Oryctolagus cuniculus: one gene and its partner. The protein of the gene in region 1 purifies or fractionates together with the protein of each later gene. This does not show direct contact. Links are inferred from orthologs where the notes say so. Each region holds a gene or a part of one and is shown on either strand. Other genes may lie near its edges. The genes, in order: WWC1 and AMOT.

What was found.
Region 2: the proteins of WWC1 (region 1) and AMOT purify together in Homo sapiens (affinity purification with mass spectrometry; 3 studies listed by BioGRID and IntAct, with this or other methods). This does not show direct contact. The link is inferred for Oryctolagus cuniculus from reciprocal best matches to the Homo sapiens genes WWC1 and AMOT.

Annotation. Positions count from the first base shown.
Region 1 is NC_091437.1:55,263,406-55,267,212, reverse strand, and holds part of WWC1 (protein KIBRA), read right to left. Parts: intron 3,016-3,807; coding exon 2,823-3,015; intron 1-2,822. UniProt on the Homo sapiens protein: Regulator of the Hippo signaling pathway, also known as the Salvador-Warts-Hippo (SWH) pathway.
Region 2 is NC_091453.1:80,509,594-80,513,947, reverse strand, and holds the start of AMOT (angiomotin), read right to left. Parts: upstream 2,952-4,354; 5' UTR 2,488-2,951; intron 1-2,487.

The DNA of each region.
Region 1 (3,807 bases):
AGAGGAGCAGGACGGCTGGGTGAGTGGGAGCTCTCCTCTCACTTCTCCATTCTCCCCCGGCAGAGAAGACCACGCATTAGCCCTTGTAACCAGGGGGAGAGAGAAGGGTTCCAGAAGACACAGGCTAACTGCCGAGCAGCACTGAGGCCCCCTGGGCAGGAAGAGATCACAATTTCCAACACTGCCTGCCACAGTGTGCGTGTTCCCACCAAACTCAGGCTGAAATTCCATCACTCCTAGGAGATGCTAAGAGAACAGAGACTTAAGCAGAGTATCGTACTTGGAGGTGGGACCCTCTGGAGGTGGTAAGATTAAATGAGGCCATAGGGATGGGACCCTAAGGCAACAGGACTGTGGCTTTATCCAAAGAGGAGGAGAGACCCAGCCGGGACCTTCTGTCTGCTGTGGGATGCACTGTGTCACCTTGGGACTCCGCAGAGTCTTTACCAGCAGAGAAGCCCTCACTCAGTGTAGTTACCTGATCTTGAACTTCCCTGCCTGCACAACTGTGAGCAGAATAAACCTTTAGTTTTTACAAATGACTCAGACTGCGATGCTCAGTTATAGTTACAGAAAGTAGACAGCACGGACGGAGACAGCACAATACATACAGCTGGGTTGTGAGCATTTGTTCCCACTCGTCAGATGGAAAGGAAGGAAAGGGCTGGGACACGGCCCAGTGAGCGTGGCCATGTGAGATGGGCCAGGGGAACCATCACAATGTAAACCAGACCTGGCAGTGGGTCCGCCCGGGCAGAGCATGAGCTGTGTGGCAAAGCTTAGCAGGTGCACAGGGGGCAACCAGGACTCCTGTGAAGCCACAGTGAGCATACTCTGTACTTGCAACAGGCAGGGAAGGCGGGCCTCATGTTCCCCCAAAACCTTGATCTGGGTCAGGGGATATGAGAGTCACTCAGAGCAACCCCAAGAGGTAGGAAAGTGCAGTGGCTACACACAAGGAAGCTACAAACCCTGGCTTCTCCATCGACTTGCTGGAGGATCTGCAGAAGTAAATCAGCCTTTGGCAGAGGGAGGTCACCCCACTACTTCCTCTCAGAGCTACCATGAGGATGCACTGAGATACTGCACACAGAGTTCCTGGCCAAGGGCAGACACCCAGACGCCGCCCAGTGAGGGGACTGCTGCTGCCTGGCTGACCACAGGGCTCCCAGCAGACGCACAAGGCAGGGAGGCTCTGGGTGGCAGAAGACAATCCCTGTCTCCTCCCGTCTCACTTCCTCTCACCACCAAAACATGACAGCCTGACACTCCACGTCCCCATGGCATACGGAAAGGGAGAGCTCCGATTGGCCCCGGACAGAGACAAGCCACAGGGAGATGAGCGCTTTGGCTGCTGCCATGGCAACCAGCAATGGCCAGACTTCAATTAGGAAGGAGGAATAAAAGGCATCCAATTAGGAGGAGAAAATAGCACGAGTCTCCTCGGATTTAGGAATGCCCAGGGCTGAGCAAATGCTCCACTGGAGGCGCCTGGGTGTGGAAAAGCTTTCTGCTGTAACCGAAATGCCCACCACGCTGGCCTGACCCTGGACATCACACTTCCACTCCCACCGACGCTCTCCAGGAAATCCTGAGCAGAGATGGACCCGCCTGGAGTCCAATAAGGCTCCTGCCACTCTCTGACTGTGTGACTACAGGGAAGGTCTTTTGCCACTGTGTGCCTCAGTTTCCCCTCTGGTACACATGACCTGTTTTGTAAGGTTGAAGTGAGCCAGCACACTAAAGCACTTAGCTCAGAGTCCACGAGTTATCATCAAAATTGTCTCAGGGTAGGCATGCAGTCTAGTGGTTAAAAGGCAAGTTAAAAGGTATTTAGGTTTGATTCCCAGCTCTGCCTCCTGACTCCAGCTTCCTGCTAATGTGCGCCCCAGGGGACAGCAGTGACAGCTCAAGTAGTTGGGTTCCTGCGACCCACATGGGAGACTGAGGTTGAGTTCCTGGCTCCTGGCTTCAGCCCATCCAGGTCCTAGCTGTTCTGGGCATTGGAGAGTGACCCACTAGATGGGAGCTGGCTTTATTTTGGCTCTCTCCATCTGTCAGCCTCTCAAACTTAAAAAACAAAACCAATAAATAAATAAACAAAATACTCTATCCTCTAGAATGGCACCAGGGCTAACAAAGACTTCACTTCTTTGATTTGTATGTCACAAGCCCCTGAGTTTAACATAAATCCCCCTTTCATCTACGAGGTGGCTGACCAACATCCACCTGTACATGTGGCTGCTGGTCCCTAAGGACAGGACACACACAGACCCCAGGCTCCTTCATATCCGATCCTGACTCCTGCTAGTGCAGTGGGTGGGAGGAAGCCACATGAGCTCTGTTCCAGGGAGTGGACCAGTAAGGGCCCCGCTGCACGAGAGCCTTCTGTGTGTCAGGCATGGCAGCAGGTGCTTTTCCTGTACTGACTCCCTGGATCCAAGTAACAACTTCCCTAGTGGGCATCACTAGGGCATTTTATGGATGAAAAAACAGAGCACCAGAGATGTTAAGTCCACTGCCCAAGGCCACCCAGCTATATAGCAAGAAGAACTGCTTGTTCTCATTATTCAGTGTTTCTTGTCTCATCCTTAATGCTGCACAGGTAAGCTGTGGTCTGTGGCTGGCATCTCCTGCATTTCTCTCAGGCCCACTACTCTTCCTCTTATGAGGAAAAGTATCTCTGTCTAGAAGCCAACGAACTTGACCGGTGATTCGACCTGGGCCTCCTTCTCGCCTTCTCTCTGCAGCCTGGGGTGGACCAATCCCCAGAAGGCTAGAAGGCTAGAAAGACAGAGGGACAGACGGAGATACGCTCTCACCAGGCACTCCTCTAGATGGCTCCTGTCCGTGGTACAGACGTCGACTCTTAAGGTCTTCTGGTGTAGGGCTGGGTAGGACATGGACACCCAGAATACCTCGTTGAACACCAGGGTGTCCGAGGCGTCCAGGGGCGGCGTCCGGAACAGGCAGGTGGTGCTTTCGGAGCAAGGAAGGATAACCACGCGAACGTTCCTACAGGGAGACAGGGTGGCAGGAGAGCTTGGGTCAGCACAGGTCTGGGGCTACTGTGTTGGGTGAAATAGCCGCTGAATCTCCAAGATTCACAGTGGCTGTGAATGTGCAAATTTCTCAAGTTGCTACACGGGTACTTGTGAGCGATGCAGGATATGCCGCTGAGGGGCATGCACGCCCTTCCTGTCCCTGAATCCCCCGCTCCATACAACCGGAGCCCGAGGCCAGCAGCAGCCAGTGCTTGCTGACACCGGGGAATCTGCCCCTCCTACCCCAAGAGGCAAATGCAACAAAACCTTCCTTGTGCAGGGGAATTCGATAAGCCCAAGAAAACTATAGCTGTGCTGGCCCTCTCTTCTAGGCACTGTCCCCCTGATACCGTGGACAAGGACCAGTGAGACAGACCAGGAGAAGGATGTTCACCCCGGCACTGCCGACACCTGCAGAGGACTGAAGACCCCCGAGCATCCAGTCTCGTCCTCCTTCTGTTTTGTCTGCTTTCCTTTCCCTGCCATTCCTCTCCCCCAGACGCTGGCTGGGTACAGACCAGAGAAGCAGGAGCTCCCGTGGCTGCCCTTATGGCCTAGGATGGTCCCGTTACAGGAGAAGCAAGTAGGCAGACGCGTGCCATCAGATGCAAACCTCGTCTACAACGGGAGAGCCAACACGCAGATGGTGCAGGTGTCTGTTGGCTGATCAGCCTGTCGGTAATCCCAGCCATACCCTGGCACGGGGAGCACAGGAACTGGCGCTGACCCTTGAGAAGCCAGGACTCACTCCTTTCTAGGTGCA
Region 2 (4,354 bases), on another chromosome or scaffold:
CTCCACCCCTTTCAGTGGGTTTAAGCTGTGTTTAATGGGTGCAAAGGACAATTTCTACCAGACAGTCCTAAAGAATAGACTGTTCTCATGCATTCCAAATGCTCAGTCTCCATGGAGGAGGCTACCTGGTCACAAGCATTTCCCAAGAGGGAATATATCCTCTACTCTTCTTCATTGATAACAATCCCCCCCATCCCACCCCTCCCTAACCCTCCCCCAAACAAAACAAAACAAAACAACTTTGAATCATCCTGAGAACTTCAGGGAATTTTTCTGGGGTAAAGGAAAAGAAACGCTAAGAGGGGAGCAGGAGGGTGTGAGAAACTCCTCTTGTCTCCAAATGGGGGGAAAATGCCTTAAAAAGCTGGATCAAAGAGAAAAAGGGGGATGGGGGAAAGAGGGGCTGCTTAATTACAAAGACACCCTTTTAAAGAAGGCACAGGCCCTGGGAGAGGGCTCTCAGGAGAGGCCCAGAAGCAGATGTACCCACTTAGAATTCTGGCACTCAATGGGATCTCAAAGTCATAGCATCCATCCCTCTGCCTTCTGATTAGAAGTTCTTAAAGCATCCTAGAGAGAATCTGATTCATTCTTTACAAAACTTCAGAGAAAGCAACTCCACAGAATTCCCTAGTTATTCATTAGTCAAATAAACTATACTTCATAAACCAGAAATGAGATTTTAATTTCCAAACTCAACACAGTATTGAATATGAATTTTGACTGTTTGCTTTCTAAAAATCTCTTTCAATAGGTAAACAGATCTACAACTCTCACGTAAAAGTTACTCTACACAGAAATGTGGTCAGAGATTGACTTCACATCTAGATTGTGAAGTTAGAAAAATGCACTTTCAATTTTACAGAGCTACAAACTTTTCCGAAGAACAAAGAACTCCAAATGAATTATGATGTAGTGCCAGAATGTCTGTAAATGATACCGGATAAACCCATACAGAATAGCTGGAACTTGAGGTATCCTCTGTAAATAGATGCAACTACTCTACAACCACCTGGCTATTAAAATGTCCTAGGCAGTTACAAAATGTAGTTTGGTTAAGTAAGCTTTCCCTCCCAGCTGATCTGAAACCTGATAGTCTTTAAAATCATCTCCATGTAACGTTCCTGCTCCACCTTCCTGCTTTCTTTTCTTCCATTAAAACCAACCAAAGAATTTATTTTAAAATGTAAGTAATTTGTTCCCAAACAAGTCACAGGTTGGGGATATCTGAATGCCCCAATTCTCATAAACTTGACACCCTTGTCCAATTGAAGATAGGTGAAAGATGGGTGAAAATTTATCCCACATCCAAAATGGCATTTCAAACTATTCTTAGCTACTAAATGAGGGTGCTGAAAGGTCTAACTGAGAAGGCTTCACAAAGGCTGGCCTGAGAAAGAACTTTTTACAAAGCCTAGCTCAAGGAGACTTAAATACACTTAGCCCTTCATCATTGAAGATTATGGTGACTAATTATCTTCCTCTCTGAATGGGAGAGGAAGGTTATATTCATAAGTTTCTAACTGCCCCTTAACGTCCACTCTTCATGTTGAAGGAAGGAGGATAACAGAACTAAATACCCCAAGTTGTCAGAAAATTCTAAAACAAACACAAAATTTGGAAATGCCATTTCTCACCAACTTCTCTTTCCTCTCATTAATTTGTATTTAGTTCCTTGTGTAAATTATTATATATGATTATTAGTGGTGAGAATTTACCAGGGACAGCTCAGTCTATAAAATTTCTCATTTCCCTCCCACTTTTTCTGCTCATTATTTTCTTGCATTCATGAAGCCCATCTTACTGTTGAAGCGCCAAATTACAGTGGTCCAGATGTGAACCCTCAAAGTACCTGCCCAATCGTGCAACATTGCTTTCTAATATATTTGAATTTTCAATAGCACTTAGAAGCAACCACCACCTCCACCACATACACACACAAACACACACAGAGAGAGAGAGAGCAGAGAGAGAGAGAGAGAGAGAGAGAGAGAGAAAGCAGCGTTGTACTGCAGATTACTTCTAGACTTTAAAACTTCAAGAAATCACGCCCTCGGGCTCAGGGAGTGTAAGCACCCACCCTAACCCTAAACACTTGAAAGAGGCCCAGCCAGTTATCAGAGGTAAGAGCAGACATTCATGCTGGGCTGAAGGTAGAGCTCAGCTTCTTTGGGTCTTTAGTTTCTTAGGTGATTAATTACCCTAGAGACCTACAAGAACCCCAGGAGTCAATTAAGTACCACCAAGTCCTGGTACCCACTAGCATCTCCTAGCCAAAGTAGGACGGGAAACGAGCGCAGTAGTCTTTAATCAATTTAACTCGCTGCATATCCCAGAAAACTCTCGGCCAGATGTAAAGAAAGTGGAACACATGGGCATTGCCACACGCAGCTAAATCGACTCACTCATGCCGAGGGCACGACCAAGTTCATGCCACCATGGATTCCTGACCCAGCTCCCCGCAAAAAGTAACCACGCGTCTCCTACCCCTGAAGGCAACGAAGACAAGGTGACGACTCTCTGCTGGCTCAAGTGGCTTCAGTCCCGGGCCAACGGCCAGGGATGGGCAGGGGGGAAGCCCCAAGTCCCGGCTGCTCCCCTCCTCGTTGCTCCGTCCGGGCTCTCCTTGGTGGCAGTGGACAGGCAGGATACCGGGCCGGAGGGTGGAGCAGCGGATGGTGGGAGGCGAGATAGACTGGAGGTGGTGGTAGTGGGGGAGAGACGGTGAGAACTAAGAGGAGACGAAAGAGAGAGGAGATGAAGAAGTAATTCAGGGGGTCTACCCGTTTAGGCAGCCAGAAAGCTCCTCGGAAGGAAGGGGCGTGACTGCGATGAAGGCAGCTCCTGGGCAAAGGATGGGAGGTAGGGGAGGGGGAGGAATGGGTGGCTTTTCTTCTTGCGGTGAGCGGCTAGGACCGCCCAGGAGCGGGGGGTGGGCCACGGAGTGGGGCGGAGTAGAGGGCGGGGAAAGAAGGGTGGGAGCCGGCCTGGACCACGGGAGGGGGGCCGGGCGCGGAAGACAGGCGGGGCAGGGGGCGGGGAAGTTTCAAACAATTGAACTCTGGGTCCCTGAGCTTGCGGGGGAGGGGGAGTAACGGAGGACCCTAGCTCTTGCCCTCCCACTTGCCGGGAGTGCCTCGGTTATGGCAGCTTGGACAGCCTACGCAGGCACTGGCTGGGAGGAAGGAGAGGGTTTTGTCAAGACGGCCAATAATACTCTCAGGGCATAGCGCAGCCGAGTCGTGTGGGAGACCCAGTGCAGTTCCCGGCCACACTGCAGGAGGAAAAAGAAACAAATAATAGAAATGCTGAAAAGCTACTACCACCAAAGCCTGGCTAAAATAAGGCACGAGGAAGCAGCGTTCCTTCCTTTCCCTTCCCCTCTTGCTTCCTATTACCAGCAGGCCTCCACCCAGGTCACAGCTTTGCGAGACACCCTCTTTTCTTCCTCTGCTCCCCCACCTACCCCACCCCCGCGCCCCTCCCCTCGGTCAACTTCGGAGGCGGCAGGGGGCGTGGGCGGGGCCCTGCAGAGGCACCGCCCCTAGGGTGGGCTGGGAGCGACGGGCTGGGCGGGCGGAGCGAACCCTGAAGCAAGTTCCAACCCACCGCTATTTTGCGGTTACCCGTTGGCTAGTCCTAGCTTAGGGTTCGTTTTCGATTGGTCCCTTAAGACGCCAGTCCCATCCTTTTGTCCCACCCGTCCTCAAAATTCGTGAAAACGAAACAAGAGGCTATTGTCTAGCTCTGTTCTCTCGCAGCTGCTGCTGGGAAGCGAAAGATGAGAAACTTGATTTCTGTCTGGTAAAAGTGCGACGATGTGTCTGCGGACTCCCTGTACACCTTTATGTTTATGGCACTCTCCAGGCCGCTAGAAGTAGATAACTTTTCTGCCTCCTTACTTCATTAAACCAGGAGGAGAGAAAAGTGCGTGCAGTGTCAATGTGGTGTTCCCATTACCTGGCTGCGAAAAATCAATATTGCTGAAGATCATGGGGGTTTGAAAATATCATCCTGGGACACGAAAATTACCATTTTACATCAGGGGAAAAGAAAGCACAGAGAAACAGTGAAGGGGTAGCCGAATAACAGGAAATTTGGAACCATAGCAAGAATTTATCTGGGACTCTGATGCTTAGTAGCTAGTTTGCGACTTTTAAGTGGCTTAACTTCTCAGCCTTCATTTTCCTGTAAATAAAAGCTATTAAGACATGCCCTGTTAACCTAAAGGGACTGGTGTGAAAATGCAATGAAATGTGTGTGAAAACGCTAAACCACAAAGCAAAGCACTCCACACATGTATGTGTTTATCCTTGTGAATCACACATGGTGGAAAGTCTCACATGTGTTTGGA